Arabidopsis thaliana: one gene and its partner. The protein of the gene in region 1 interacts with the protein of each later gene in a pairwise test. Each region holds a gene or a part of one and is shown in the gene's direction. Other genes may lie near its edges.

Region 1 (16,256 bases):
ATTATATCTCGGCCTATTTGTATCTCATCTTCGAAATTGGCTACCCCATCATCTACTTCAAAGTCAAAACGCTCAATAGGATCTTCTTCATCCTTTTTCTTCTTCTTCTTATTCTTCCTTCTCACAATTTCTATAATCTGCTCTTCACTCTCACCCGCATTCTCTGATTCATAGCCCCTATTGTACTCCACATCATCATCGTCACTACAATTGTACAAAATTACACCATCATCGTCAGACATCTATTGCTCTCTCACACAATTAACAAATTTAAACAAACAATTTCTGAAAAATTCAAACAGATCCAACTATGAGAACATGTTATTACATAGAAATAACATAACTTACGACATCTTTGTGTGGGTAATGTGTGATTTCAACCCAACCACGCTTCAGATTCACGCTTTAGATTCTCCAGAGATGATGATCCAACGACCAACCACTCCAATTAACGCCGGAGAAACTAATTAAGAAGAAGATGAAGAAGAAGAAGTAGAAGAAGAAGAAGGAGAGAGTGTCGATGGAGAAGAAGAAGAAATAGAATAGATTTTTATTTTTTATTTTTTTTGGGCATAAGAAGAAATAGAAAACCTAATTCAGAATTTTCCCCCTTTTGGTTTAAGGTATAAATCGAACCTTCCTTACCAAACAGAAGGTTTGTTTTGGGTTATGAGATTTTGGTTGGGTCAATGGTTTAATAGCAGATTATCAAAGTTAAAACGCAATTATTAATTTTAAAACGCATTCAGAGAGATTAATTGATTTTGGTGAATTGGGTGGAATTGTGTAAGATTGGGTGGAATTATGAAGAATATAGTTTGTATAGGGGGAAATAGGTAGAGAGTGAAAGTATGGGGGGAATGTAGTTGAACTGATATATTTCAGGGTGACAGAGGCAGACAGCCCATAATATAATGTTGGTATACAGTATTACTCTAATCAAACACTAAAGTCTTATCGTTCCGAATAAAAATGCGTCGTTCAACTACGAATAAAGTACGGTGTGATTCACATGATAATGAACCGGACCGTATTGTGCGATTTACGATTTAGATTTTGTCTCTATTCGGAACCTAAATTTTAACTATTATTATACAACAATAATTTAAGTTTTGATAAATCACTACAAAATTACTTGAATAAAAAAAACACTACAGGTTTAGCCGTAATTATCGTCTTAAATGGAAGAACATCAAATCCATTGATTTGTTTATAATTAAATTCGTGTGAATCAATGTCATTTTTGATATTTCTCATCGCTTTTGCCAATAATTTACGCTGGATCTTTCTCCTGTCTAGATTCAATGAATCTGAAGGTCAGTGATAGTGTAAACATTAGAACTATCTAGCGGTTACTAGTTGACTAATAAGTTTTGATTTTTAGTGGGTCATATTTATCCACTTCCGCAACAAAAAATCATATGATAGTTAAAAACTTCCCTAGTTAGTAGTAACTAGCTAGTCTTAAAACTTCTTTTCTTTTCCCCATTAAACAGTCTTAATTTTAACTTCGATTTCGATCCATAAATTTGCATAGAGAATGCACCAAAATGATTTCTATTGTGGGGAAACTTAAATGATTAATTGATACCAAAACAAAATGTGTTTTGATGATTAACGTGGGGACCAAAACGTGGGTCGGAGAGTGCCCGGGGCCGGGAGTGCTAGCCCTCTTAATTTACGTGACTCACTTAATTACACGCATCTACCATTTTGTCATGGTGATTTATTTATATGTATACTATAAATTTAATATTTTATTTTCAAATAAAAAAACAAAAAATTTAATTAATTATCTCATATTTCCTTTGTTCTTTAAACTTGATTTTTTTTTTAAACACACATATTAAAAAACATATTAAATATTGGTTATAAATATATTACTTTTTGTGTATTACAGTTTTCTATAACTCTAAACCAATGATAATTAACTATTTTTCTTGAAAATTACAATTCACCAATACTAACCAATAAATATTACAAAGAAAACTTAAAAAATCAATCTTTTAGAAACAATTTTTTTTCTCTATATAATCAATCATTTAATAACAGAGGGAATATCGTTTTCCTTTCTGCTAAAATATCTTAGCTTTCTAATAGGTAATTTAGCGTACCGATTCATTTGTATTAACATGAATCTAATCTTTTATTTTCTGTTTTTACTACTAGTTAAATCGTTAGTCAACAAAACTAATAATATCCAAATATTCGCCATAAAATTATCCTTTTAACAAATTTAGACACAATATTTTAATTGATTTAGAAATCCAAAATGGCAATCATATTATTTTTAAATTGATATCTTCTTAATTTTTTAAAACATGAGACAAGTAGAACTCTAGTCTGGTGAAAAGCTCACAAGTAAAACATGAAAGGAGTGTCTTAATTCAACTTTGTTTTGTCGGCAGTACACATCACAATGTCATATAGATAGGTTGTAGACGGACTATTTTCTGAATTGAACTGGGTCGTGTTTGTAGACTATTTTTTTTTTTTTTTAATTCTATCGACTGATCCGGTGAGTTTCAATAAAAGCACACTGAAATAGTTCAGAGAGAACGTTTTTTCGAAAGACCACCACATTATATGTCCTAAATTTTAAATGTTTTCTAACTAATAACAGGGTTAATCAGACTACATGTATTTATGATTATTAGATAAATCAATTGAGCCAAAACTTAACTAATAGATTTTCCAAACAAATTTTCCAAACAAATGTGACAGATTATTTATTTTACAAAAAAATTGTTTTACATTAAAACTTTAAATAATTTCTACACCGAAGAATTGAATTTGCAGCACAACATAAGAAATCATGAATGATGGTATGGCATGCATATGTTAATCCTAACAAAATTCATGATTCCCTATCCACGCAAGCTAGCTTGCTTGTCCAAATTAGATTTGTTCAACTGCATAAACAAATTGTCAATTTCCAAAGAGGCACCAAAAGTCAAACCATAAATAGGTAGTTTGGACAATTATTGGGGATATAATGGATTAGATCGTAGATTCAGGAGAATTTAAGGCAAGTAAGTTGGTTCTCTATCTAATGTTCCAAGGGTCTTATCTATGTACTTCGTTTCGATGATTAATTGATGTAGTTAGTAGTTTCAAATTCCAAACGACTATTTGTATGTACAATTACATATGGATTAATTGTCAGATAACATGTTGAATTCTAACATGTTTCTGTCTATCCGATTTTAGATTAAAGTTGTTTATACAAAATTTTAGACAACACTTAAATTAGTACTATCGTTAGTTATATAGTTCCATTAATCATTTCTCCTTCTGTATGGTTTATTTGGACAGATATGTCATTAAGCGTTTAAAAATATTTGTAGATTTGATAATTTGTCAAAAATAGCATTTATTGATATTATAGTTGATCCGTACGCGTTACGAATTCTTTAGTTGACCTTTCTTTTTTTATAATCTCCTAATATTTAAAATTCAGCAGCAGACTGATGAATAAAATTAAATACTTGGTTCCATTTCTAGATGGTAACAGGTACAAATATAGATCCTCACGTAAGAATAATAACAACGGAGGACAAAAACGTTAAATTATGATTAATTAAACATTTAATTAAAAGTATTAGCAAACTCAATCAAAGAATGACTAAAAGGTTCTAATAACTTGTGAGGTATTTAAACAAGTTAATGTAAAAAAAGAAACAAAAAGGTTGAAACGTACGGTTTTCATCCAATGATTATGAATGACTATAAATGATTGTTTTTTCTACATCAAATATGGAGTTCCATCGTCATCCAATTTTCTTTTGGTTACGAGTGAAAACTTCTTAAAACACCCGAATATAGGATCTGATTGATAACCAAAAGTTGTACAAGTTTTTTAGCTGTTAACTTTATCGAAATAGTGCAAAACTGTTAAAAGAGCTGTATAAAAAAACTGTACAAAAAATCTAAGAAGAAAACTTTTTGTAACGTTTTTGATAAAGTTTTTGTGATTGATAACTATCAATACTGTACAAAGCTGTATTGTGTTACCATTCAAACTTATAATGTTATAGTCTTGGAGAGATATTTTTTTTACTCAAAGATATGAATTTAAGTTAAAATATTCCATAATCCAAACCAGCAATATATACACATTAATATAATTTAAATTGCATGGAATTCAAAATAATACTTATCGTGAATCCATCTAGATACGTTGAGATAAGGGACCAATCAACAAGAGAAGACGTCACTTTTACAAGTTGAGAATAATCTTTCAGAGAGAAAAAAAGAGTAACTGTCGATTTTTGTTGATCCAAGGTAACGTATATGTCCTGACTCAGATTATTGCTTCCAATTATATGTGAAAAGAGCTTTCTCCACATTGACATATAACTAGGATCATTCGCTATAGACGATTAATCGTTGTTTATAATTTGTTATAAAAAAAACTTTGGTATTTTAAAGAATATGTCAATATTTTTTTCATACTACAGTATTTTTAATTCGTCAAACTATTTAAGAATACGCTCATGACAAATGATCATATAATAATAATTTAAATAGTACTTGTATTTATTTTTTCAAGAAGAAAACTTAGTTGAATGAAATTTGACTTAAAATGATATAAAGGGTTTGAATGGTAACCATTTTAATAACAATACAGTTTTGTACCGTTTTGACAGTTACCAATCACAATTTTTTTATCAAAAACGTTACAAAAAGTGTTTTACTCTCAGCTTTTTTTATACAGTTCCTTTTAACAGCTTTGTACTATTCCGATAAAGCTAACAAATAAAAATTTTGTACAGCTTTTGGTTACCAATAAAACCCAAAGTCTTACAAAAAAGGTCTTACGCGTCCACGTTAGCTTTCCAATCCAACCCTTAATTAGAAGTCTTCACCATTTGCTGGTTAAAGGATATTTTTTCAAAGTGTTTAGCATTTTGTATACGTCAAACTATTTTAGAATCCAGATGATGAATGATCATATACTAATACTTAGCTGTATTTTTATAATTTAAAACAACAAAACTTGGTTTAATGAAATTTGACTTGATCTTGTTTAAAAAAACGTCTCACGTCCACACGTTAGCTTTTCCAATCCAAAACCCCTAAAGAGTAGAAAACCAAAATAACCATTTTTAATTCCCAGCCTCTTTTTATACGTAGTCTAAATTGACAAACACATCATTCGCTCTCTTTCTCTTCTTTCTCTAGCTCTCTTGGTTTTTTGCTAAAAACAGAGCATTTTCTCTCTAGCTCTCACTGTTTCTTTACCATAAGTTTCGTCATATTAGTACATGCAAGTGTAAGGGATGGTGATGGAGGAAGGAAGAAGCATAGAAGAAGGGCTTTTGCAGCTCAAGAACAAAAACGACGATTCAGAGTGTCGTATTACTGCTTGTGTTATCCTTAGCACTTTTGTCGCCGTTTGTGGCTCCTTCTCTTTTGGTGTTGCTGTGAGTTTTCTACTTTACCTTACTTTGATTTTTTCTTCTTCTATAGAAGAACAAATGAAAACAACAAAATTGTATGAAAAGAAAACATACTTCATAATTACGTTATACCTATTTTCTTATAGTTTTTGTTGTTTTTATACAGACTGGTTACACTTCAGGTGCTGAGACAGGAGTTATGAAGGACTTGGATCTTTCTATCGCGCAAGTATGTCTCTCTTTTACGGTTTTTCTTCTATTTCTAAAAACATGTATTGAAAATTAACCAAGTAGCAAATTTTATCAAAAAAAAAAGACTAAGGCCATGAATGTTTGTAGTTTTTAAAATGGTTTTTGGATTTTGGTTTTTAGTTTTTGATTTTCTTGGTTTTTGTTTTTGGTGTAGATTTTAGTTTCTTAAAAACTTGAATGGTAATTTGTTTAGATTTTGGTTTTTATGTTAATGGATTATATTTTATTTTACAAAAAAAATCTAAAAATAAAATAAAAAATGTGATCGATGGTTTTTTTATAGAGAAACTCTCAAAACATAGATTTTGATTTTCTTTGAAAAGTTGTTAAAACACTCAAAAACTAGATTCCCTATTTTTTTAAGAAAACTTGTTTTTTCAAAATTTTGAATGGTTACAAAATAGATTTTAGAAAAAACTAAAACCAAAAACTAGTTTAAAAACCACATCCATTCAAAGTTAATTCTTTTATACTATCATCCTTAAACAAACAAACAAAGTTTTGTGTATAATTAAGCAACTGAGAGCGAGTGACATATTGACATATGCAAAAAATAGCTAGGTTAATTATCGTTCAATTTTTATCAAAATACAAGCTTCACATCATTTTTAAATCCGTAAATATTTGTTTCTTTATTCATTCAAATTGAAACAAACAACCATCAATTCTAAAGAAGAAACATATAGATTGTCGTTATCCCATTGAGTTGATTATACTTCTTTGTTGGTGTGGTTCACCTCCTTTTTTACCCATTTTTTAAACTCTTATCATAACCCTACCAAAACTATATATATATATTATCCTGATATATATGGAATTGTCGAAATCATCCAAAAAAAAACATTATTTATCATAATAATAACCCTACCAAAACTATATATATGCACATATATCCTGATATATTGAGCGGTTGTCAAAATCATCTTATAAAAACATTATCTAGCTATCAACGTTTCCATCGTTCCAGAACCATTCTCCGGCCAATTCTCTCATCTACAATAATAGAAATTTGAAATATTGAAATATTATATATATATATATATATATATATATATTAAAAATAATAATAATAATACTATATATATGAAAACTATATTTGTTATAAATCATTTTTTTCTCAGTTTTCAGCTTTTGGCTCATTCGCCACTTTAGGAGCTGCAATTGGTGCACTGTTCTGCGGTAATCTGGCAATGGTCATTGGCAGAAGAGGGGTAATTAATTTAACCATTTCACCTTTCATATTCGTAATTTTACCATTCTTCTATTTTTTTGGTTCTTTCGTGACTATAATTTTCGTATATATGATGCTTATAATAATATTTTTGCTATTTATGATATAATAGACAATGTGGGTCTCCGATTTCCTATGCATCACTGGTTGGCTCTCCATCGCTTTTGCTAAGGTACTACTAGTTATTTTCTATTCATAAACATGTTTTTTTTTTCATTCAAACATTATTTCTTAGAAAATAAACAAACCAATTAATTTATGGTTATTATAAACCCAATAATTAAATTTATGTTATGTTTTGGAATACAATAGGAAGTAGTGTTGCTGAACTTCGGAAGAATCATTTCAGGGATAGGTTTCGGCTTGACGAGCTATGTGGTAATTAACTTATTATTATTATTATTTAATATCATCTTTGTAAGTTTGTTTTCTGATCTGTAATTTTTGCTTATTTACCAAGCAGGTACCTGTCTACATAGCAGAAATTACGCCAAAACATGTTCGTGGTACATTTACGTTTTCAAACCAGGTAATACTTTAGGTTTTTAGAATATTTATAAGAATGAGTGCTGACAAAAAAAAAAAATAGCACAAACTAGTCTAAGACAAACCAACCAAAATCCAAATTAAAACTTTTCAAAATTTCTCGTGAGTATATTGATCCTTGTTTCATTCTTGTGTAATTATTGATTATTAGCTTCTTCAAAACGCTGGACTCGCCATGATTTATTTCTGTGGGAATTTCATCACTTGGAGGACGTTGGCTTTATTAGGTAAGACTATAAATTCCATATTCATCGTGAAAAAATTGTTTTGAGACGTAAGAATATGTTAAATGTATAGTAGAAAAAAACTGGAAATCTTCAGCTGTTATATTATAGCAAATCAACTGATAAAAATGTAATACGTTTTTGGTTTAGGTGCTTTACCATGCTTCATTCAAGTAATCGGTTTATTCTTCGTGCCAGAGTCTCCAAGATGGCTGGTTGGTCATTTAATTTTTCTTTAGTGTTTTACGTAATTTATTAATTATTATCAACCATGAGAAGAAAAAAATTTAAACCAAACTATTTTCATTTTGAAGGCCAAAGTTGGCTCCGATAAAGAACTAGAAAATTCACTGTTTCGGCTTAGAGGAAGAGATGCTGATATTTCACGTGAAGCCTCAGAAATTCAAGTGAGTTTTACTATATACTATTATCAGTTATAATTTATATAATTTTCAATAAATATACATTCCCTTTTTCTTTGAAATTATATTTTCATTCCTTCACAAATAAAAAAATGTAAAGTCTGAATAATTCTGTGTTGTTTTCAGGTAATGACCAAAATGGTGGAAAATGATTCAAAGTCGAGTTTTTCAGATTTGTTCCAGAGAAAGTATAGATACACCCTCGTGGTACGTACAAGTACATCAAACTAATTTCTAGAGTATCAAATTTTCATATTTAATTTATCTGCACAAGCATTCATTTTTAATTAATATCTCAGGTAGGAATCGGGCTAATGTTGATACAACAATTCTCAGGAAGTGCTGCTGTAATCTCTTATGCAAGTACCATTTTTAGAAAAGCTGGTAAGCATTCATTTATTTTTATTAATGTTTAATTTTATATTAAAATGTCAGAAATAATAATAACTATATATATATTATATGACAATCTGTTCAAATCTGCAAGTGAAGATTTGCATAGAAGTTTCAGTTTCTCTGAGAATGTTTTTTTTTCTAACAAAACATATTTTATTCTACCAATCAATAGATTATGGGCAAAGGTCCTGAACTCCTAAGATTTCTCAAAATAAAATTAAATTGTGTATTTATTTTGTAAAATGATGCCATTAGCTCATTCTAAATACTTTAAGAGAAAGGGTTTTAGTAAATATTTACCATGAGTTCCTCTTTCCATTTTTTTTTGCTCAATAATTGTTCTGGATGGAAACAGGTTTTTCGGTGGCCATTGGAACGACGATGCTAGGTATCTTCGTGGTAAGTATATATAAATGTTTTTCTCAAATTTTGTTTGACTATATGGATGCAAAATTTAAGAAATGAAACTACGTCTCTGAAATCTGTTGTTATTGAGCAACTAAACTTGTGTGATGTTATTTAACCTGGTATAGGTCGCGTTTCTAGGAGATATAGAATTTTTGGGTTTCAACTTCCAAATATTCAAAAAAAAACAAAACTTGTGTGATGTTGGCGTTTTAATCGACATTTTATCACAGTTGAAAAAACGACATTTTTTATTTTGTTAAAATTTCGTACTTTAATGAACTCTTTGAACTAAGAATTTTCATGTACTAGTTTTTTTTCTTTTAACTCGTGAAAGCATTGAATGGTATAATATCTGGCTATTCGCAGATTCCAAAAGCCATGATTGGCCTCATTCTTGTCGATAAATGGGGCAGACGTCCTCTCCTGATGGTGAGCATGTCTTTAAATAATTTCTGGCTGTTCGCAGATTCAAATCTATTAGTCTATATTGATTTGATTACTATTTTGACATAGACTTCAGCGTTTGGGATGAGCATGACTTGCATGCTACTTGGGGTCGCCTTCACATTACAGGTTATTTTTTTTGTAAGATAATTACTATTTTTATTTATTCTGTTTTTAAACCAATAACTTATTTGTTTAACAATGTTTTTGCATGAGCAGAAAATGCAATTGCTTTCGGAACTAACTCCAATATTATCGTTTATATGCGTAATGGTAAGACATTATATCTCCTTGTACACAATCTTTTTGATGAAAATATTTACGTTGATGTTTCTTTTACATATAAAATATAGTTAAAATTGATATTTTTTAAATCGGCAGATGTATATTGCAACTTATGCAATAGGCTTGGGAGGTCTACCTTGGGTAATTATGTCGGAGGTACATAAATTTACTTCACTGTTAATTTTATTTCTATGCAGGAAGTAAGTAATATGTCTTGAAAAATAAAGTAATATATGTATGATTTTTGGTGTGTGCAGATATTTCCAATAAATATAAAAGTAACTGCAGGAAGTATAGTTACGTTAGTCTCATTTTCAAGTAGTTCAATCGTCACTTACGCTTTCAACTTTCTGTTCGAATGGAGCACTCAAGGTATTATGTTTTTCTTTTTCTTAATATCCATTTTATACAATTTTGGTTATATAAATTATCTTGTGATCAACAAAAAAAGTTATAACTTATCCTTTTTTTTTGTATATCGCATAGAAATAATCAATGATTAAGTCTAGAAAACTTATATAGTTTTCAAAGTCTGTGTTTATAGCATTTCAATGAAACCTCATATACATTTTATAACACAACTATTTGTTTATTTTATTTTAAAAGACTAATTAGTTAAATTTTTGGTTGAGTGAATATGTTATATAGTTTGTATTTATTTTATTTTCTCCTAATGTCTATATATATATATATATATATTATAATTGCATTTAATTTATAATTTTCTTATATAGTTTAATTAATGTAATAGGAACGTTTTTCATATTCGCGGGTATCGGTGGAGCAGCGTTGCTTTTTATATGGTTGCTCGTTCCAGAAACGAAAGGATTATCACTCGAAGAAATACAAGTTTCACTTATTCATCAGCCCGATGAAAGAAATCAAACTTAATTTGAATTATTTTATTTTATTATAAAAATGATCAAATTCAGTTTATGGTGTTATATTTGTTTATTTACAAACAAGGATTTTTTTTTTTCATTATGTAATTACTACTTTATTTTTCTGGGTAATTAGCCCCATTTTTATGATGTATATTTACGAGATGTAAAACTTGGCCTACGTACATGTGTATTTTATCTCTAAAATTGCAAATGTAATATTTTTCGGACATATATTAAAGAAGAGATTGATTTCTAGTATTGGGTAACTAGGGTAATTAATGATGAACAATAAACATGCGATTAATTAATCTAAACTGTTAAGTCCTAATATTGCTGTTTAATATGAAGTAGCTAGTATATTTAGAAAACTATATATTTCGAAAACGTGATATCTCATAAATTTGATTTAACATTGGATAACATTTGTGGACCACCATGCATCATGCGTGCTGGTAAGTTGATTCGACAAATTTCTGACGTTTGTAAGTTGATGGCTAATATTAATTAGATTATGCATTGGAACCACATAGATATTTCAAAAACAAACATATTTAGGTTCGATTCATCACTAGTAATATATTGTTTTGACCAAGGACTTTACTCATGCCCTGAAGCGACAATCTGTCTATGGTGTTGCATGTTTTTGAAACGAAAATCTGTCTCACAAACCCTGTGGTTAATATCTCCTCTGGCTGAAGAATATGAAACCTTAGATTGGAAAACCATCTATGAATTTTTGTCTTTGAAGGTTTTATCACTACCGCATCTATTATCTCTATCCGTGAATATACTGAGCTTATCCCGGAGTGTCAATTTAGACACATCTCTGCCGGACGTTATCTTCATCGACTATCCACTGAAGCATCTTGACACCACTTCAATCTAGCGGCCAAAACTAGGAGTTGTGATTTCCCTGTTTTTGCTTAAGCTTTTTCGAACCATAGCTAACTGTTCCCCGACACACATCCAGCTAGCTTCCGATCTAGAATTTCATTCTTACCTGACTTCAAGGGTCCTCGCCATCCAAGCTTCCCCGTCATGGAAAGAACCTTGGCTCTGGTTCCATTTGTCGTTTGTGCCGGCGAATAGTGAGACTAAGTACCTTTAGTAATCGTCACAAAATCTTTTGATAGTGACTAGTTCTAAAATACCTGAATTGTTCGTGGAAGTCTCTTTGACACACCAAGAACTCGCTTGTGGCATGTTGCTAGCTAGCTTCTGTCTCTGAGATTTTATCATAAAATTTTTATGGGTCTATCCTCAATGCTTTTAACTTATCCTAGCTATCTTATCTTTATTGTAAGAATGTGCTTCAAGTACTTGTATCCTTTGTTTCTCCTCTTTTGGGTTTGATTGAATGAAATCAATTATGTTTTGCACAAAAAAAAAAGACAATTTGACAAACACGTGAATGCAATTTGATTGAGTTAAGATTAATTAGTACAAAACATAATAATTGAAACCCATGTAAGTTTGGTTGATTCTATGTAAACAACCGTTTTTCTCAAAAGGTATATATTTTTTTGTTTTTGGCATTCAAAAGCTATAGTTTGTTTCTAAAGTAATCATTTTTAGCTGATCAAAACCAAGTAAACCGATTAATTATTGTGTGAATGATAGTTAGGTGTTGCATTTGTGTGTAAATGACCTTAATGTATAGTAGAACGGAAGGTTGCTGTTACATGATTATCTAACCGGTTCTCAGATGGAATCGAAAGTAGAAAATTCATATGGAACCGAAGTTATGCGATTCAATAAAACCATATCAAATGTACAATATATTTACACGGTAAGTACATTGCATTAGTAAGTAGGTATGAACTCCTGACTCCATGTATAGTAGAAAAGGGATTGATTACATAAAATACATTGACTGCGTGAAATGTATGATAAGTGCTTGGTCCTTAGTCCTTTGTTGTGTATAAGGAGCAATTTATCGGGTTTTCGATCATAAAATGATATTTTTCATTTTCTAATCATAGGCTTTTTAAGGTTTTTTTTTTCATCCTAAGCACAAGTGACTTTCAAATTAATCTTCATTTTTATGACTAGGAGATGTAACTATTTTCTAGAGAGTAAACTCTTTCCTACATGTATCGAACCCGTGATCTCCAAAATCTCTACGTTTTCAGTAATCCATGGATTTAACCATTTGACCAACTCGAAGTTGATTTATTTTTGTTCTGATGTATAATATACCACCTTTTGTATTGATTTCAAGGTGAAACAAATTTTTTTATAAGACAATTTAGTTTGAAAAAAAAAAGGGAGATTAAAAAAAATACACTATTTATTTTTAATAAAACTTAAAAACATCTGTTAACATAGAAACAAATCAACGCATAGTTTTGTTTTTTTAAGATACAAATAGTTAGAGAACATAAAATAAAATTTAGATTTAAGGTTAGAAAAATAAAAATCGAATAAAATGCAGCAAAAGATTATCTATAACATGTGATAAAATGGAATAATATTTAAAATAGCTGTACTTTAATTTCTTTTCTTTCTTTTGGTGCAAAACTTTAATTTCTTAAACCAATAAAATTTAACTGGATAATAATCTGACCCATAATTTCCTTAATAAAACATAAAAATTAATAAAAAAATCTCACATACAGTTAAGTACAATCCAATCCCTTAGATATATTCCCCCCCCCCCCCAATTGAAGTAAAAATCAAGTATTAAGAGTTAACAATCACTAAGCATTCCAATAATATATTTTTCAATGGAATGGAATTACCATTGTGACATAACTTTTTGTTTTTTGTCAAACTGTGACATAACATAAAACCATTAAAGAAAACATGTGTCCCTCCTTTAATAAGAAGCACATTGTGACAAACAGAGCATTCTCTCTCTCTCACACTCTCCTCTGTCTCGCTACCTCTGTCTCTTTCTCGAGCACTCACTGTTTTATTTACCAGAAATTGTGTTGTATCATTACATGCATGCATAAAATGATGGTGGTGGAGAAAGAAAGAAGCATAGAAGAAAGGCTTTTGCAGCTCAAGAACCAAAACGACGATTCAGAATGTCGTATTACTGCTTGTGTTATCCTTAGTACTTTCATCGCTGTGTGTGGTTCTTTCTCCTTTGGTGTCTCTGTGAGTTTCTTATCCTCATCATTCTTCTTTGCTTAGTTTTTTCTTGATATAGTAAAAAGAATTTTTTTCTTTCTTTCTGTTGTCAACTTATTGTATTAATTGGGAACGAAAAAACTTTACAAGGATAATTACAACCACATATCTTTTACCTTTAAAAGAAGAAAAAATTACAACCCCATGCTATGGGTTTAACATAAAAAAAAACTTTAAAAACCAAGAAAGGGCAGATTTAGATTCACTATATTTCTAGAGAGTATTAAACCCGAGACCGGAGTAGAAAACTCTTATATCTTGAGATTTTTACAACTCCTACAACTATGGTTTAAGCCATATAGGAAAATTTCCGGCGATGCCTGAAAAATTCCGGCGAAAAAGTGGATGTAAAGATTGTCTTCCTAACCTAATTTAAGGAACCAATGACGACTACTATTAAATAAGCCACTGCATTTATATTACACACTAAGAAACAAGTAATTTATTCAGGGTAGCTCAAGGTTTAACAAGTAAAAACAAATTAAAACGTTTTTTTTTTGTTTTTTTTTTTTGTTTGGCAGCTTGGTTATACTTCAGGTGCAGAGATAGGAATTATGAAGGACTTGGATCTTTCTATCGCGCAAGTATGTCTTCTTCTTTTTTTTTCTTGTGCAAATCGCCCAAGTATGTCTATCTTTTGTTCTTTTCCATCAACATTTATTAAATTAATCAAGTCACAAGTTGTTTATATTAAGTTATTAACCGTAATGTAAATAAAAGAAAATAATAGTGGTAGTCTGGTAGATGGCGAAAAGACACATTGTGACATTGATCAGTGTCTTAAGGGAGATGATCAGTGTACTTAAGGGAGGTGATCAGAGCTGTCCAAATAGACATGAATTTATGTATAGTCCTATTAGATCAGTATTAAAATTTCACATCTATTTAAATTCCATATTATTCTTTGTCAGATTGTAATAATTAATAATTTCTTATGAAGAGAAATATATGCTGTCGTTATCCCAATGAAGCTGCACTTGGTTGGCTTGTAGGCTTGTGGGGGTCACCTCCATTTTTACTCCTTTTTCGAACTTCTTATCATAAATAGTAACCTTACGAAAAATGTTATAGTTCTATATTTATTAAAGATACACAAAATGAAATACACCGAAAACAGAATTGTAAAATAACATTCAATCATATAGTTGTAAAATACCATTCAATAGATAGATGACAAACTATATATAAGTTTTTTTTTTTTAGAAATTAATATCGCAATAAAAAAAAAATATTAAACTCAACTTCTGCAGTTTGTCTTTGAGTTAATATTTTTTTAACAGTTTTCAGCATTTGCTTCATTATCCACTTTGGGAGCTGCAATTGGAGCTTTGTTTAGCGGTAAAATGGCGATCATCCTTGGCAGAAGAAAAGTACTTTAATTACATTTTCACTCTTTCATATTCTTAAGTATGGTTTGATAATCAAATTTTACCTTTTCTGACTAAAATTTTTCGTATATATGTTTTTGTATATTTTCGTATCTGTTTGCTACTAATGACAATATTGCTTTTCACGAATTAAAGACAATGTGGGTGTCCGATCTCCTCTGTATCATTGGTTGGTTCTCCATCGCTTTCGCTAAGGTATGTGAAATATTCCTTACCACAAACTTGGGACCGCAAACTTATTATTTGTACTGTTAGTACTTAGAAGATTAACAAACTGTTTATCATGAAACCCAAGAATTAGTTAATCATTTATATTATGTTTGGAACACAAAAGGATGTGATGTGGTTGAACTTCGGAAGAATCTCCTCAGGGATAGGACTCGGCTTAATTAGCTATGTGGTAATTAACCTAATATATTTAATATAGCCTTAATTACCTTGTTTTTATTTACTTATATCATCTATATATAAAGTTATTTTAAAATAATTTAATGCTATTTACTGAACAGGTACCTGTCTATATAGCAGAAATTTCACCAAAACATGTTCGTGGTACATTTACCTTTACAAATCAGGTAATATATTTGTTCTATAAATATATAAGGATCAGCATCGACACAAAAAATAGAAATATAGAATTTCTCACCCATGTGACCAAATTATGCTAGAACTAAGCAGAAGAAATAAATCAATTGTGGGGACATATATGATCTCGACAGAAGCAACAAAACTTTTATCAAATATTGAGTAAATAATAATTTTGTCAAAATCCAATATATGTCTTCGTATTTTTTAAAATGTCAAAACGAAATCTGTGTAAATTTTTATATTATACTTGTTAGCTTTCTCTTGAGTTTGACCCTTTTGATTCTCGTGTGATTGACTGATTATTAGCTCCTTCAAAACTCTGGACTCGCAATGGTTTATTTTTCTGGGAATTTTCTCAACTGGAGGATATTGGCTTTATTAGGTAAATGTTACTAATTTATGATTTTTAACAGTAAAACTGTTATTTATATTTGATGTGGAAAAGATAATTTACATACAGTAAAAGATGAATAAATAGCAAGAAGAATGTGGAAAACCTTGAGTTGTTATATTACAAGATTATACATATAAATGTGTATTTTTCTGGTTTAGGTGCTTTACCATGCTTCATTCAAGTAATCGGTTTATTCTTCGTACCAGAGTCCCCAAGATGGCTGGTTGGTCATTTATTATAAATATTTTTTAAGA
Region 2 (16,290 bases), on another chromosome or scaffold:
CAGGTTAAGCCAATGATTAAACCCTCAAAGCTGCTATGGAACTTAAAGGATGTCGATTATGAGTGGCATCAGTTTTATGGAGACAGCAATAGGTTTTCTGTCGCATTGTTATGGTTGCCAGTTGTGTTGATATATCTGATGGATATCCAAATTTGGTACGCAATCTATTCTTCGATTGTTGGTGCTGTTGTTGGGCTGTTTGATCATCTGGGGGAGATCAGGGACATGGGACAGCTGAGGCTAAGGTTTCAATTCTTTGCTAGTGCTATTCAATTCAACCTAATGCCTGAGGAACAACTCCTGAATGCTAGAGGCTTTGGTAACAAGTTCAAGGACGGCATTCATAGGTAGTCCGTGGAAGCATGCTACTAATATTCCTAAATAATTTTCTGTACAACGCTTGACTTGACTGTACAAGCTGTGAAATTTTACTTTTGTTAACGCAGATGCTGCATATAATTAAATTTTTCAATATTGTAATAACTTGAGGTTGTGTACTGTATGCAGATTGAAGCTAAGGTATGGATTTGGGAGGCCGTTTAAGAAACTTGAGTCGAATCAGGTCGAGGCCAACAAGTTTGCGTTGATCTGGAACGAAATCATCTTAGCTTTCAGAGAAGAGGATATAGTTTCTGATCGTGAAGTAGAGCTACTGGAGCTGCCAAAGAATTCCTGGGATGTGACGGTTATTCGCTGGCCGTGTTTCTTGTTGTGCAATGAGCTTTTGCTTGCACTGAGCCAGGCCAGAGAGCTGATAGACGCACCTGATAAATGGCTGTGGCACAAAATATGCAAGAATGAATACAGGCGTTGTGCTGTAGTTGAGGCATATGACAGCATCAAACATCTATTGCTCTCAATCATCAAAGTTGACACTGAAGAACATTCGATAATTACGGTCTTCTTTCAGATAATTAATCAGTCCATTCAGTCAGAGCAGTTCACCAAGACCTTTAGAGTGGACCTGCTGCCAAAAATTTATGAAACACTGCAGAAATTGGTTGGGCTGGTAAATGATGAGGAAACAGATAGTGGGCGGGTGGTGAATGTTCTGCAGTCTCTTTATGAGATTGCAACTCGACAGTTCTTTATAGAGAAGAAGACAACTGAACAGCTATCTAATGAAGGTTTAACTCCTCGAGACCCAGCCTCAAAGTTGCTGTTTCAAAATGCTATTAGGCTTCCTGATGCAAGCAATGAAGACTTCTACCGGCAGGTTAGGCGTTTACACACGATTCTCACCTCTAGGGACTCTATGCACAGCGTCCCTGTGAATCTAGAGGCGAGACGGCGGATTGCTTTCTTCAGTAATTCGCTTTTCATGAACATGCCTCATGCCCCTCAGGTTGAGAAAATGATGGCGTTCAGTGTTCTGACTCCATATTACAGTGAGGAAGTTGTATACAGCAAAGAACAGCTCCGAAATGAGACTGAGGATGGGATTTCCACCCTATACTACCTGCAGACAATTTATGCTGATGAATGGAAAAATTTCAAGGAACGGATGCATAGGGAAGGAATCAAGACAGATAGTGAGTTGTGGACAACCAAGCTGAGAGACCTCAGGCTTTGGGCTTCCTACAGAGGTCAGACATTGGCACGTACAGTTCGTGGGATGATGTACTACTACCGGGCTCTTAAGATGCTCGCTTTTCTTGACTCTGCGTCTGAAATGGACATTCGGGAGGGTGCTCAGGAGCTTGGTTCAGTGAGGAATTTGCAGGGAGAACTGGGTGGTCAATCTGATGGGTTTGTCTCTGAAAACGACCGATCTTCCTTAAGCAGAGCAAGTAGTTCCGTGAGTACGCTGTATAAAGGCCATGAGTATGGGACTGCATTGATGAAATTCACATATGTTGTGGCGTGTCAGATCTACGGGTCTCAAAAAGCAAAGAAAGAGCCTCAGGCAGAGGAAATTCTGTATCTGATGAAGCAGAACGAAGCTCTCCGTATTGCATATGTGGATGAGGTGCCTGCGGGAAGAGGAGAGACTGATTATTACTCCGTTCTGGTGAAATACGATCACCAGTTGGAGAAGGAAGTGGAAATATTCCGTGTGAAGCTACCTGGTCCAGTGAAGCTGGGCGAGGGAAAGCCAGAGAACCAGAATCATGCAATGATCTTTACCCGTGGTGATGCTGTTCAGACCATTGATATGAACCAAGACAGTTATTTTGAGGAAGCTCTCAAGATGAGAAATTTGCTCCAGGAGTACAACCATTATCATGGTATCAGAAAACCAACTATTCTTGGTGTCAGGGAGCATATCTTCACGGGATCAGTCTCGTCACTGGCGTGGTTCATGTCTGCTCAGGAGACAAGTTTTGTCACTCTTGGTCAGCGTGTTCTTGCAAACCCACTGAAGGTCAGAATGCATTATGGCCACCCTGATGTATTTGACAGATTCTGGTTCTTGAGTCGAGGCGGCATCAGTAAGGCTTCCAGAGTTATAAATATCAGTGAGGACATCTTTGCCGGGTTTAACTGCACGTTAAGGGGGGGAAACGTCACCCACCACGAGTACATTCAGGTTGGGAAGGGTCCACAATTTGGATTATTTCTAACTAACTATACTGCTACAACGTTTTTTTAACGTTTTTAACGTTTATTAATTATGCAATCTACTTTTGTTATAATTATGTAATTTAACGTTTTTTAATCTTCTAAATTCAAAAAATTTGAGTAACCTTTGTCTTTATGCATTTTTCAGGTCGGGAAGGGACGGGATGTTGGATTGAATCAGATATCAATGTTTGAGGCTAAGGTAGCCAGTGGGAACGGAGAGCAGGTTCTCAGCCGAGATGTGTACCGGCTCGGGCACAGGCTTGATTTCTTCAGAATGTTATCATTTTTCTACACAACTGTAGGGTTTTTCTTCAACACAATGATGGTCATTCTTACTGTTTACGCTTTCCTCTGGGGACGGGTTTATCTGGCTCTCAGCGGGGTTGAGAAGTCCGCTCTAGCAGACAGTACGGACACCAACGCCGCGCTTGGGGTGATCCTGAACCAGCAGTTCATCATTCAGCTCGGTCTGTTCACTGCCCTGCCAATGATTGTTGAATGGTCTCTCGAGGAGGGTTTCCTTCTAGCGATATGGAATTTCATTCGAATGCAGATTCAGCTTTCAGCTGTCTTCTACACATTCTCAATGGGGACCAGAGCTCACTATTTCGGTCGAACTATTCTCCATGGTGGGGCCAAGTATAGAGCCACTGGACGTGGATTTGTTGTCGAGCACAAGGGATTCACTGAGAACTACCGACTGTATGCACGCAGTCACTTTGTGAAGGCCATCGAGCTTGGGCTGATCCTCATAGTCTACGCTTCGCACAGTCCGATTGCCAAAGACTCGTTGATTTACATAGCCATGACTATCACCAGCTGGTTTCTTGTGATTTCATGGATAATGGCCCCATTTGTGTTTAACCCATCAGGATTCGACTGGCTTAAGACAGTCTATGACTTTGAAGACTTCATGAACTGGATCTGGTACCAAGGCAGAATCTCAACGAAATCTGAACAAAGCTGGGAAAAATGGTGGTACGAGGAACAGGACCACCTGAGAAACACCGGGAAGGCAGGATTATTTGTGGAGATCATCTTGGTCCTCCGGTTTTTCTTCTTCCAGTATGGGATTGTATACCAGCTTAAAATTGCAAACGGATCCACCAGCCTTTTTGTCTACTTGTTCTCATGGATATACATCTTTGCTATATTTGTGCTCTTCCTAGTCATCCAATACGCCCGTGACAAGTACTCGGCAAAAGCTCACATACGGTACAGGCTTGTCCAATTCCTCCTGATCGTGCTTGCTATACTGGTGATTGTTGCTTTGCTCGAGTTCACGCATTTCAGCTTCATCGATATCTTCACAAGCCTTCTTGCATTCATCCCAACTGGCTGGGGAATTCTGCTGATCGCACAGACTCAAAGGAAGTGGCTGAAGAATTACACTATTTTCTGGAATGCTGTTGTCTCTGTTGCTCGCATGTATGACATATTGTTTGGGATACTCATAATGGTTCCAGTAGCGTTCTTGTCATGGATGCCTGGATTCCAGTCAATGCAAACGAGGATATTATTCAATGAAGCTTTTAGCAGAGGACTTCGCATCATGCAGATTGTCACTGGGAAGAAATCAAAAGGCGATGTCTAAGTTTAAAAAACGGTAAAGCTCCTTGTTCTCAACACCTTATGTTATGATCGTTTAAATCCTGGATTTCACACCAATGCGGGCTTTAAATTTGTGTAGGTCTTAAGAAGTAAATGGTAGTTCAAATCCTATTGGTATGTGGCGAAGGAATCAGTTGGAGGTTAGTTTTCCCGAAACAACCGAATTCGAAGTTTTGTTTCGTCTAAAGAAAAACTCAGATGCTGATGATTTATCTTTGTATTTTAAACAGGTTTTTGGAGAGTTTGGTTGGATGAGGAATCGGGAAGTTGGTTTGATTCGGTTAGATGGGTTTAGGGAGATATTTGATTGTCAGTGTGTGTGGAGGGAACTCTGATTCTTGTATGGTTTTTGTTCTAAAGGTACAGCAATTTGTGTAGTGAGGCTTTGTGTATTTGTTCTCCTTCTCTCATTATAGAGCTTTAGAGCATTTTTAGTTTATATTCAGATTGTTATCTAATGTCATCTCGCAGAGCTTTTGTTCACATTTCACATCTTTTCTTCTCCTTCTTAGTAGAGATCAGTTTCAGATTAGATACTTGTCCATATTCCACTACTCTCGTCTATTATCGGTTTCTGCTTGTCAATTTCTGGGTCCAAAATTGAAATAAATTTATATAATTGGACCACAACACCACTTTGTCGGTTTTGACTTTTCTACTTGGATGCTCCTGAACTTCTTGCTCCCTTTTCTATTACAAATTGGGAAACAATCAGTGTGAATTGGGGAATAAAAAAAAACAGAATTGAGCAATTAAAGCCACGTGGCAAGAAATCGACGAGGGACCAACGTGTTTGTCTGCAAGATCTAATCCTTTTATTAACAAAACGGCGACTGATCTAACGGGAAACTTTTAAAATCGAGAAATTGTTAATAATAAATTCAACTACTTCTGGGCCATCATCATCAATCTTGTTCGTCTTCCTTTTGATCTTATCAAACTACAGTCAAATCACTCAGAGAAAGCTACTAGGTCTCTCCTCGACATTTGCTTTCAATTCGATCCAGTAATTTTCTTCTCATCGGAGAGAGAAAAAAAAAATGGAAGACCCGTTGATTGGTAGAGATAGTCTTGGTGGTGGTGGTACGGATCGGGTTCGTCGATCAGAAGCTATCACGCATGGTACTCCGTTTCAGAAAGCAGCTGCACTCGTTGATCTGGTTCTCTTATTCTCTTACACCCTAATTTTGAATTCGTTTTCCTCTTTGACTTTTCAAAAAGTTTCTATACATGGATCACATCGCCTCCAAGAGAGATTCTATGTATTTTATCAGTTCATTAAGTCAGTGTTTTTGTTAAGCTGAGAAGATGAATCGTTTCTTCTTCTGAGTGATTTCTTCGTATAAGGATTAGTCAATGCTTTTGTGTGTATATCCTCACGAAATTAGCATTGTTTGAAAATTGGGAATGGAGATATCTGTTGTTTCATTGTCTCTAAAGTCTTATGTCAAGAGGATTGTTGGATTGACTCTGATTTGTGGTATGTAGGCTGAAGATGGTATTGGTCTTCCTGTGGAAATACTTGATCAGTCGAGTTTCGGGGAGTCTGCTAGGTATTACTTCATCTTCACACGTTTGGATCTGATCTGGTCACTCAACTATTTCGCTCTGCTTTTCCTTAACTTCTTCGAGGTCAGCACATTTCTTTGGTATACACCAACCTTGCTTGAAAAATTTATAGAAAATCACAACTTGAAAGTAATCACACACTTTTCCTGTCTTTTGCAGCAACCATTGTGGTGTGAAAAAAACCCTAAACCGTCTTGCAAAGATAGAGATTACTATTACCTGGGAGAGTTACCGTACTTGACCAATGCAGAATCCATTATCTATGAGGCAAGTAATTACACTTAAGTCTTGTTTGCCTTTGTTTTTTTGCTATAGATGCATAGATTTAGTGCAGATGGGCTCATGATATACATGTACATCCACTTGAAAGTTTAAGACTTGAATTGCCTTATGTTTGTTTTCTTTAAATCTTGAGAAGCCTTGAGTATTTATTCAAGACTAGTTTATCTCGTTTAATTCGTCGTTAAGAACTTAATATCAACACTCACATCTTATTTTGGATATGTTTATTATAAGGACTGGCCAAGATCCTTTTCTCATTGTGCTGAAATTATAATATTCTTTGCTGTCCAAATAGGTGATTACCCTGGCTATACTCCTTGTACATACTTTCTTCCCGATATCCTATGAAGGTTCCCGAATCTTTTGGACTAGTCGCCTGAATCTAGTGAAGGTATTTCCTTACTAGCCACTTCACAGTTTTGTGTTTCTTCTTTTTGTTGAAAATCGATCAGAAAGTAAGAAATTCCTTTTCTTCGTGCAACAATTTGTCTTCATATTGATTCCAGGTTGCTTGCGTGGTAATTTTGTTTGTTGATGTGCTGGTTGACTTTCTGTATCTGTCTCCACTGGCTTTCGACTTTCTCCCTTTTAGAATCGCCCCATACGTGAGAGTTATCATATTCATCCTCAGCATAAGGTATCCGTAGATCTCTGCTTCTTTTCTATCAACTATATGGGTTATATGTCTTTATTTCTATAGACAAAGATGCGCAGATCATGTCATGTATGATAAATGTCGACGTGTGATTATTTGACCTACTATTCCTCCTATTAAATCTCTAAATACAGCACATTCCCCAAAGTTATGATTCTTTACATTTCTGTACAGGGAACTTCGGGACACCCTTGTCCTTCTGTCTGGAATGCTTGGCACATACTTGAATATCTTGGTCAGTGGCCTTCCCCAATCATTTTTGACTTTCAGATAAGTAATTAACTCATATTGATTGTCATCCTATTTACTTAACTCCTTGAATATTTTCACAGGCTCTATGGATGCTGTTCCTTCTATTTGCCAGTTGGATTGCTTTTGTTATGTTTGAGGACACGCAGCAGGGCCTCACGGTCTTCACTTCATATGGTGCAACTCTTTACCAGATGTTTATTTTGTTCACAACATCCAACAATCCTGATGTCTGGATTCCTGCATACAAGTAAGTATTAGGTGAAATCCCATTTGTGTCTCAGTTTGCTTGTATGGCGTTGCATCCAGTAATTTAGTGACTTATTTGTTCTGTCCTCTAAGGTCTTCTCGCTGGTCTTCGGTGTTCTTCGTGCTCTACGTGCTAATTGGCGTCTACTTTGTCACAAACTTGATTCTTGCCGTTGTTTATGACAGTTTCAAAGAACAGGTGGATTAAGGATTTGATGTTTGTATGGTTCTTATGTCAGCTTTTAAAACAAAAGTATTAACCTCTTTTGACACCTTGTGTCATATCATATCTATTCTGTTTGCAGCTCGCAAAGCAAGTATCTGGAATGGATCAAATGAAGAGAAGAATGTTGGAGAAAGCCTTTGGTCTTATAGACTCAGACGTAAGTTCATCTACGCATAGTGATTATATCTACTCCTAGAGATATCCGGAGAAGTTCTCCTTGGGCAAAGATCTTCATGAATGGAGAGTCTTTGTATAGTTAACCACTTTGCTGAGCATATATTTCTTCGTTCTTTATTTCATGTTTTAACAGAAAAACGGGGAGATTGATAAGAACCAATGCATTAAGCTCTTTGAACAGTTGACTAATTACAGGTTTGTTGCTATGATCTTTGGTATTTTCAATCTTTCCTATGTTTCGAAAAAGAAATACATCTTTTATATACTTGTTTGTGGTTTCTTCCCTTTTGTATGTTAACTTGTGAGACCTGATAATGATATGCATTCATTTTTCCTTATAGGACGTTGCCGAAGATATCAAAAGAAGAATTCGGATTGATATTTGATGAGCTTGACGATACTCGTGACTTTAAGGTAGAGATCTGTGAAGGATGTGGCACATATGATCAGGATACACCTTAAGATTACTATTCACCTAAACCTCTTGACGACTAACAGATTCTTTGTCCCCTTTTTGTTTCCTGTTGAGCAGATAAACAAGGATGAGTTTGCTGACCTCTGCCAGGCCATTGCTTTAAGATTCCAAAAGGAGGAAGTAGTAAGTTCACATATACTTTATTTTCCTTCTCTCAAAATTTACTTACCTCCACCATATGTTTACATTAGCGATCCTTTTTGTTTTCATTGCAGCCGTCTCTCTTTGAACATTTTCCGCAAATTTACCATTCCGCCTTATCACAACAACTGAGAGCCTTTGTTCGAAGCCCCAACTTTGGCTACGCTATTTCTTTCATCCTCATTATCAATTTCATTGCTGTCGTTGTTGAAACAACGGTATATCATGTTCCCATATTTCTTTGACATGCGATTCCTAATTCTTTCATAAGCCATAACAGATTTTGGTATGCAGCTTGATATCGAAGAAAGCTCGGCTCAGAAGCCATGGCAGGTTGCCGAGTTTGTCTTTGGTAAGAACTTGAATAGGTTTCCACTATCTTCTCTCCATTTTGTATTTTTCTTCTATTTGATGCTTTGTGAAGTGTATAATCTATGGTTACTGAGAAATATGATGAAAAGATGAAGAATGAAATAGAAGTTAAGCTATTTCCTGTGTTATTACACTGAGTAGAGTACTTCTATGGATCATATTAGATTGTAACAGCCGAATTTTATTGACCACCTTTTCAGAGTCTTAACTTTTTCTTCTTTTAATTTCTATCTTTGAATGTTTTTACAGGTTGGATATATGTGTTGGAGATGGCTCTGAAGATCTATACATATGGATTTGAGAATTATTGGAGAGAGGGTGCTAACCGATTTGATTTTCTAGTCACATGGGTCATAGGTAACCTATTGAAGCAGCATTTTCATCTTGTTTTGCTGATTGAGTGATTGATGGCTATGCTATAAGTGATAATCTTTGTATCTGCAGTTATTGGGGAAACAGCTACCTTCATAACTCCAGACGAGAATACTTTCTTCTCAAATGGAGAATGGTGAGGAATAACGATGACATATTTGTTACAATGGTCTTCTTTTGTACTAACCCAGACTCTGGTTCTCATTGATAGGATCCGGTACCTTCTCCTGGCGAGAATGTTAAGACTGATAAGGCTTCTTATGAACGTCCAGCGATACCGAGCATTTATTGCGACGTTCATAACTCTTATTCCAAGTTTGATGCCATATTTAGGGACCATTTTCTGCGTGCTGTGTATCTACTGCTCTATTGGCGTACAGGTAAATCAGACTACTGAGTTTTTTGTCTGAAAAATGCAAGCTTATGATGAAGCCTTGGTCAATGGTCATTCTCGTCATTTTTGATTATTCTAAGCCTCTTGAAATTCTTCATCTTTCCGTTCATCTGAATGTTTTAGGAACCGCTGAACTGCTACTCTCATGTGTTTTCCCTGTCTTCTCTCACGGGTTCTATTTCCCAAATCAGATATAAAAATTTCTTCATCTCATTTCTCCGTAGGTCTTTGGAGGGCTTGTGAATGCTGGGAACAAAAAGCTCTTTGAAACCGAATTGGCTGAGGATGAGTATCCTTTTTAACTTTCTGAAAAACTTTTAATGCACTCAACACAGTCTTAGTACACCTTCTCTGTTCCTGTGATTGCTAGTGTGTTTTTAATTTTTTATTACTGGGGTAAAAACGTTTTCAGTATAAGATCGTTTCTTGACGGGAAAAACTCAGCTACCTTTTGTTCAACTTCAATGACTACCCCAATGGAATGGTCACACTCTTCAATCTGCTAGTTATGGGTAACTGGCAAGTATGGATGGAGGTAATTTCACTCTTCTGTTAGTCCCAACTTTAGACTCATTATAGTTTCCAACAAGAAGTATCGCAAGATTCATTGGAGCTGAGGAGGCCAATGCTAGATGTACTATAAACAGCTTGCTTCTTATTTGCCAATCACTATGGTGCAATGGTTTTAACTACTCTTAATTTCTTTCAGAGCTACAAAGATTTGACGGGCACGTGGTGGAGCATTACATATTTCGTCAGTTTCTATGTCATCACTATTTTACTTCTGTTGAATTTGGTGAGTTTCACTGACGCCAACTCCTAAGAGCTCGATCAAACAGAGGCCATGATTGTTGTAAAGAAACTTAACTCTGCTTCTTAGATCGACTTATAATGCGTGTTTGTTTCAGGTTGTTGCCTTTGTCTTGGAGGCGTTCTTTACTGAGCTGGATCTTGAAGAAGAAGAAAAATGTCAAGGACAGGTTTGTTATTGTCTTTGATTCGCCATAAAGTTACAGATGTTGGGGAGATTAGAAAAGTAAAGAACCTTTTGGTTCGTGTTCAATCGGCAATGTTTTCATCTCGTTATTGTATCGTTGCAGGATTCTCAAGAAAAAAGAAACAGGCGTCGATCTGCAGGGTAAGTAGATAGGTCAAATTGTTGGTTGGTAATATCATACTAGACTCAAAATCTGAAGGTTTATTTTGTTTTTATGGTTATTAAAGGTCGAAGTCTCGGAGTCAGAGAGTTGATACACTTCTTCATCACATGTTGGGTGATGAACTCAGCAAACCAGAGTGTTCCACTTCTGACACATAAAACAAAACAAGATCGTTAAGAGCTTATTTATACGTTTATACTGTGAATCTTTGATTCTATATGGAGAGATCAATAGAATCTAGAAGGTGACTAAATTTTTTCTTCTTTTGGGTGAAGATTTAATATAAGACGATTGTGTTATAATTTGTCATGAAAACATATGACTATATGACTATATGAGCATCAATTTCTTTAACACTTTTGTAATGTTTACTGAGTTTTACTTTGACCTTTTAAAATGTAACTTTTATTAGTAAAAAATCCAAAAGAACATGAAATTGGAAGAGTACCTATCACTAGTAATGTTTTGAGAATTAGGCTTCCTTATTAGGATTTTTGCCAAAATAGAAATCTCTCTTTAATTGATCAATGTGTGATAGTGATATTCCGAATCCTCATTACTAATTGAATCGAAAAGATCTATGAATTGATCAAAATATCCGCTCAATTGGCTATAATTGGTTACTTGAACAAAACTAAAATTGTAGAATCATATTAAATATTTGACGATACGACTTTCGATATTTTCCTAAAGCATCCGATTCGTGCGAATTTGTCTTCCAACTAATGAAGAGATTTTGGTGGAATTGCCACATATGAAATTGAGCACAATTTTGCAAAGAAATAGTCCACTCAATATCATTTGACTGAATAGTTGACCCAACTCATTGTTGTTTGAAGAAACCTTCTTTTCAATTGGTATTTTTCGCGAAAAGGAAACATTAAATAACCATTCCAGCCTTTCAATAAGATTTCGAATAGCTAAGAGAGATATATTGGACCTTACATTTTGAATGATTTGAGTTTTAGTGGGGTTTCTATGGTTTTAATGATTTTAGGAAAGTTAATGTGATTTTTTTGTAAAAAAATTTCAAATTCCATCTAAAATCATGAAATTTATCATCAAACACATACCCCAAATTTCTCATGACTCTTTATACTTTCCTCTAGTCTCACCCATGATGATACAAATCTCACCAAATCACTAGTCATTTAAAAAAAAAAAAAGCTAAAAAATCAACCCAAATATTTTTAAAATTACTCAAATCTCAAATATGGAAATTCCACCGATAGAGACAACCACTGATGAATCCACCGTCGCTTGCTCTCTGAACAAGGACATATCCGACTCCGACACAAGAGAAGATGATTATTCCTCCGACGGAGAAAAAGAAGGAGAAGACTACGAAAGCAACGGAGAAGAAGGAGACGAATATGATGGCGAAAGCAACGAAGAGGAAGATGATGACGATGATGATAACGAAAGCGACAGAGAAGAAGGCGATACGGAAAGAGAGGGAGAAGACAATGGAGATAGTATAGTGGACGATGGATATTCAACAAACGATCAACCAGAGTGGGAAGTGGATAACTTCGATGATTTATATAGCGATTTCTGTTCACCTGATGAAGACTGTTATACCGACGAAGAAGATGAGCGTAAAAGACGTCTTTATCGTCGAAATCTCCACTTTAGTCGTGTTCGTATATACATGATTCGAAATTTAGGTTTTGTCTTTTCCTAATTCAAATGTTATTTAGTGTATAATGTAATTTGTTGGGTTTTTGTTTTGAGGTTTAGGGTTTTCTGGTGGAAAAAGGGATTCATCCACGTTCCGTATGGATTGGTGCAATCTTACTTGAACCATTGGACAGTGAACATTCTCCGGTTAAAGGAAGGACACAACTTCAATACGCACAAGACATGGTCAAATTGTGTCTTCGCAAATACAATGCCTTAAAGGTAATTTCTGATTTTAACATTGTTTTGTTTGTTTAAGATGTGTGAATTGGCCTTGTTATTACTTGTTTTTATTTTTCCTTTGGTTGTGTTTTCAGGAAACCAATGTGACATTGGATCATGTTGTAAGAGTGACAGGGTCTTTCACTGGTAGGTGGGTTTCGTATATTACTTTTATGGCGAAAGAGTCTGAGGACGATGATACGCTTGTGGAGTATCAAGCCAAGGTTGTGAAGAAATTACAATGTAAGACTTATCCTATGTTTTGCAGGCCTAGTCCTAAGCTAGATCCAGATTTGTAGTTCAAGTTTTCTTTTAATCTTTGGATTTAAAACTAAATAATTTGATGATTACATCGTCGTTTTTTGCTTCTTGTTTTGGATTTATTCTAATGGATGTTTCTCCAAACATTAAATAGTATTTTCAGAGTGTTTATTAGACATATCTAAGATTTATCAAAACTTGAGAGTGCCAAATCTATAAACAAATAATTGTACACTTATATGGCCTTATTGGTAAAATCGTAAATAGTCGGCGCGTTTAGAGGTGTGCCGTTTGTTATAATGGAGGCTAAAGGGCATCGAGACATCCAAAGACTATGAATAACTTCAAACTGTTTAGGGAGTTATGTAAATTTTAGTTCATAAGAAAATGGGTGCTTAGAAAATGACCTTCCCCATTTATCATTACAACTAAATATGTGATATGACAGAAGAAGAATCAATTTGGAGAAAACCATTTGTTTAGCTGGTCTACAATAATTGTACTATTAACCCCATGGTCATGTAAATTAAACATTGACTAGTCCCCGTCTAAGGTAATGCTTATCTTTTCTTTTGCCGACCAAATCCCTAAAAATATTCAAGATTGGTCTCAACTCCGATCCGATTAGTCTTTTAAATTTTGTATCTTAATTAGTTTTTTTCTTTTTGCGGTCTGAATCAAATAGGATCTGCTCCTACCTTCTCTCGTTACGCTCGTGGCTATATCTCGTGCTATTATATTGGCTTTTGTAGATGAAACCTTAAACACGAGCGAACCAAAATTCGGAAGAATCCGATGAATTCTATCAAGATAAGATAAATACGTTGGCCAATTTATGGGATCACTAATGGCTTCCATAGACAGTCCGATCATATCTCAATGTTATCTAAGTGTAGGTCACGTAAACTGTGTAAGACCCATAAAACCCCTCTCAACTCCGCAGCAATACGATTTGACGCTGGTAAAAACATTTCTCGGGCATGAAAAGCAGCGTCCCCATGATGATTCCTGACAATCCAAGCTCCGCCACAGATGTGAACATCATTAAGCCAAGAAACATGTATATTACATTTAAGCGTATCTAGTGGTGGCTTAGTCCATCTAACTGCACATCTAGGATTCAGCGAAAGACGAGTTACAGACTGGGTTGGCATCGTCCTTAACTTGTTCCACACCTTAGATTCTTCAAAAGCATGAGCTATAAGTGCATTTAAGTCGCCTTGTGTTCCCGCCAATACCGTTGTGTTCCGATGTTTCCAAATTCCCCAAAGTAACCATGGATTGGCCATTCTCAGAGAAAGAGATAAACCATCGTTACTCATTAAGTTAAAGACAAAGTCTAAGTTATCAGTAATAGACGGTGTGAAACCATGAGTGGGCAAAGGGATGTTAACCCTCTCCCAAACTTCTCGAGCCGGCCAACAATGAAACAAGACATGACTAATCGATTCCCTATCATTTTCGCACAGAGAGCATGGCGATCAATGTCCTTGAAAACTGCTGACGGAGAGATAGTTATCTGGTTATGAATGATGTTATTCCGTTAGTGTGGAAAAGAAGTAGCCGAAGAGTTCTTGGTGAATCAAGGCTGGGGACCTACAAATCTCAGTAGTTCCCCTTCCGTTTTGTTTTGTTGTGCAGGATTGACAAATGGAACGAGAGAAAAAGAGTAGAATGGCTAATAAAGATGTACATTGTGAATTATATAAGAGTTTATCTACAGAGAGGGATATATAGGGAGATATATGTTCTACATGTAATCATGTAAAAGTATACTGCCTGCAAAAACACAAAACTTAGACATATACCAAGAATCACTTTGATCTTTTTTTGTCATCAAGAATCACTTTGATCCTAATGTATAGGTTTTTGGGTTGGTTTTTAATTGATTTTTGCTAGCAGTCAACAAAAATCAAATTTGTATTATTAGGTTTTAGGGAGGCGCTGAAAGAAAAAGTCAGAATCTGAGAGTCTTTGCGTATTTTAATTTTAGGTTTTGCTCTTTTTTTTCATGGTGGCTTCCTCAGCCCTGTACAACATTCTTTGGTTCAAAACGGTTTTGTTAGCATATTAGTGCAGTTTGGTTTAAAATTGTAAACCCGAACAGATTTTTGTGGTTTCAAAATTAAATTAAAATTGTTTTCTTTTGTTTATAAATGGGTAGCAAAATATAGTTCACTTACTTTAAAATTTCAACTCAAACGTCTTTTTGAGAAGTCCTTGCTCCCTTAAAAGTCTTTTAACTTTTTCCTAGTATGTGGATTTACATTTTTTTTTTCTCTCTTATGTCGTGCATCGACAGTTATACACCTTAGAAAAGGATAATAAGAAATTGTAATTCTAAGAGGTCAATTCAACTCTTTTGTTGTCATTGTTATTTTCTTTTTCTTTTTATTATCAACCGATTTTTTTACTTCAAATTACATATCTGAGTAATTTCACAGTTATATTCCAAGGATTCAAATGGTATGATTAGGATTGTTAGATCAAGGTTCCTCAGCTTTTGATGTTAGGTGAATTAATTATAACTTGATGAACGAAACGTTCCTAGATTGCATAATTGATGCTATGATGTTTTGTAAACATATCAACCATATTAACAATAGTGAAACCTTCATTAAAGAAGAATTAAGTAAAAGAAACCTTAATGAAATCGTGCAATTTCAAATAACAAGCGGCGCGGTTGCTGTGAAGAGCGATCTTTTGGGGTTTGGCTTTAGCAGCAGTAAGAGCCTCCGTATAGAATAGAAGCGCCTCCTTGTACTTGCCGTCTCTGTATAGCTGATGCCCTCTCTCCACCTTCCCTGACGCCATCGATGCCATACTCGGGGAGACGAAACTGTAGATTTATCAAAATGCTAACGAGTAATAATTGTAGAAAAAACACTAAACCGTAGATTTTTTATCAAGTACTTTACTATGATTGATTTGATTAGTATGTAGATGGTGGATTGTTCAGCAGTTAATCCTATATAAAATCATGCATGAAAATTAAATAGAAGATATGATAAAATAGATGAAATAAGTTGCTTAAACCGGGAAAAACATAGAGCAGCATCAAATATTTAAATAAGTACTTTAAGTTCCATAGAGCAAAAAGAAAGCCGAGACAAAACCAAAAGTTCCAATAATAATTAAAAAAAAAAAAGATAAGAGAAGCGATCAATGATGCTGATAAGTCATAGCAGAATCCTTAAGCATCCTTCTCCACAATGTTCTTGTTACAATCTGCAGCTCACCTTTCTCCTGGACACGTACGAGGTCGACTGATACAAACCAGTCCTTGTTACTGAGGCCTTGAAGAGCGGTTTTCAAAATCATACGATCCGACACTTGGGAAACACAGTTCATGTTCTTTGCAGATTTTGTCTGTATAATAAACATGAGTTTAGTTACTACAAAAAAAAAAGTTACCAAACTAAAAAAAAAAGTTAGAGATTATATATGAAGAGTCACCTTTGAAAGCAGATACGTTATCATCACTGTAAAGGAGTAGCCCCAAACGGGTATCAATACTAGTCTTCACAAAGTAATTAAGTGTTTTTGATTTCCCAAAACAAAACAAAAGGCTTTTCATATTCCTCTAAGAAAGAAACTCGCTTATAAATCTCAAACAGAGAGAGTGGAGTT

What was found.
Region 2: the proteins of SFP1 (region 1) and TPC1 interact in a protein complementation assay, tested with the Arabidopsis thaliana proteins (one large-scale study listed by BioGRID).

Annotation. Positions count from the first base shown.
Region 1 is NC_003076.8:9,643,676-9,659,931, forward strand, and holds SFP1 (Major facilitator superfamily protein), read left to right. Parts: upstream 1-4,832; 5' UTR 4,833-5,282; coding exon 5,283-5,426; intron 5,427-5,568; coding exon 5,569-5,631; intron 5,632-6,775; coding exon 6,776-6,865; intron 6,866-6,997; coding exon 6,998-7,057; intron 7,058-7,197; coding exon 7,198-7,263; intron 7,264-7,348; coding exon 7,349-7,414; intron 7,415-7,582; coding exon 7,583-7,658; intron 7,659-7,805; coding exon 7,806-7,870; intron 7,871-7,969; coding exon 7,970-8,062; intron 8,063-8,203; coding exon 8,204-8,284; intron 8,285-8,376; coding exon 8,377-8,461; intron 8,462-8,828; coding exon 8,829-8,872; intron 8,873-9,247; coding exon 9,248-9,310; intron 9,311-9,394; coding exon 9,395-9,454; intron 9,455-9,544; coding exon 9,545-9,598; intron 9,599-9,706; coding exon 9,707-9,766; intron 9,767-9,867; coding exon 9,868-9,982; intron 9,983-10,361; coding exon 10,362-10,501; 3' UTR 10,502-10,751; downstream 10,752-16,256. Other genes in the region: SFP2 (Major facilitator superfamily protein), read left to right, coding at 13,300-13,599, 14,154-14,216, 14,913-15,002, 15,156-15,215, 15,355-15,420, 15,530-15,595, 15,915-15,990, 16,161-16,225. UniProt on the Arabidopsis thaliana protein: Sugar transporter.
Region 2 is NC_003075.7:1,575,037-1,591,326, forward strand, and holds TPC1 (two-pore channel 1), read left to right. Parts: upstream 1-4,892; 5' UTR 4,893-5,216; coding exon 5,217-5,336; intron 5,337-5,664; coding exon 5,665-5,808; intron 5,809-5,904; coding exon 5,905-6,012; intron 6,013-6,322; coding exon 6,323-6,418; intron 6,419-6,533; coding exon 6,534-6,664; intron 6,665-6,856; coding exon 6,857-6,917; intron 6,918-7,014; coding exon 7,015-7,181; intron 7,182-7,273; coding exon 7,274-7,379; intron 7,380-7,485; coding exon 7,486-7,563; intron 7,564-7,716; coding exon 7,717-7,778; intron 7,779-7,924; coding exon 7,925-7,997; intron 7,998-8,115; coding exon 8,116-8,181; intron 8,182-8,273; coding exon 8,274-8,417; intron 8,418-8,493; coding exon 8,494-8,551; intron 8,552-8,820; coding exon 8,821-8,928; intron 8,929-9,015; coding exon 9,016-9,079; intron 9,080-9,154; coding exon 9,155-9,323; intron 9,324-9,561; coding exon 9,562-9,626; intron 9,627-9,781; coding exon 9,782-9,872; intron 9,873-10,046; and 9 more. Other genes in the region: GSL05 (glucan synthase-like 5), read left to right, coding at 1-347, 508-2,530, 2,711-4,159; AT4G03565 (Cystatin/monellin superfamily protein), read left to right, coding at 11,711-12,136, 12,238-12,399, 12,495-12,698; AT4G03566 (ribonuclease H), read right to left, coding at 13,530-13,982; AT4G03570 (Cystatin/monellin superfamily protein), read right to left, coding at 15,377-15,499, 15,919-16,029. UniProt on the Arabidopsis thaliana protein: Functions as a voltage-gated inward-rectifying Ca(2+) channel (VDCC) across the vacuole membrane. Is one of the essential components of the slow vacuolar (SV) channel.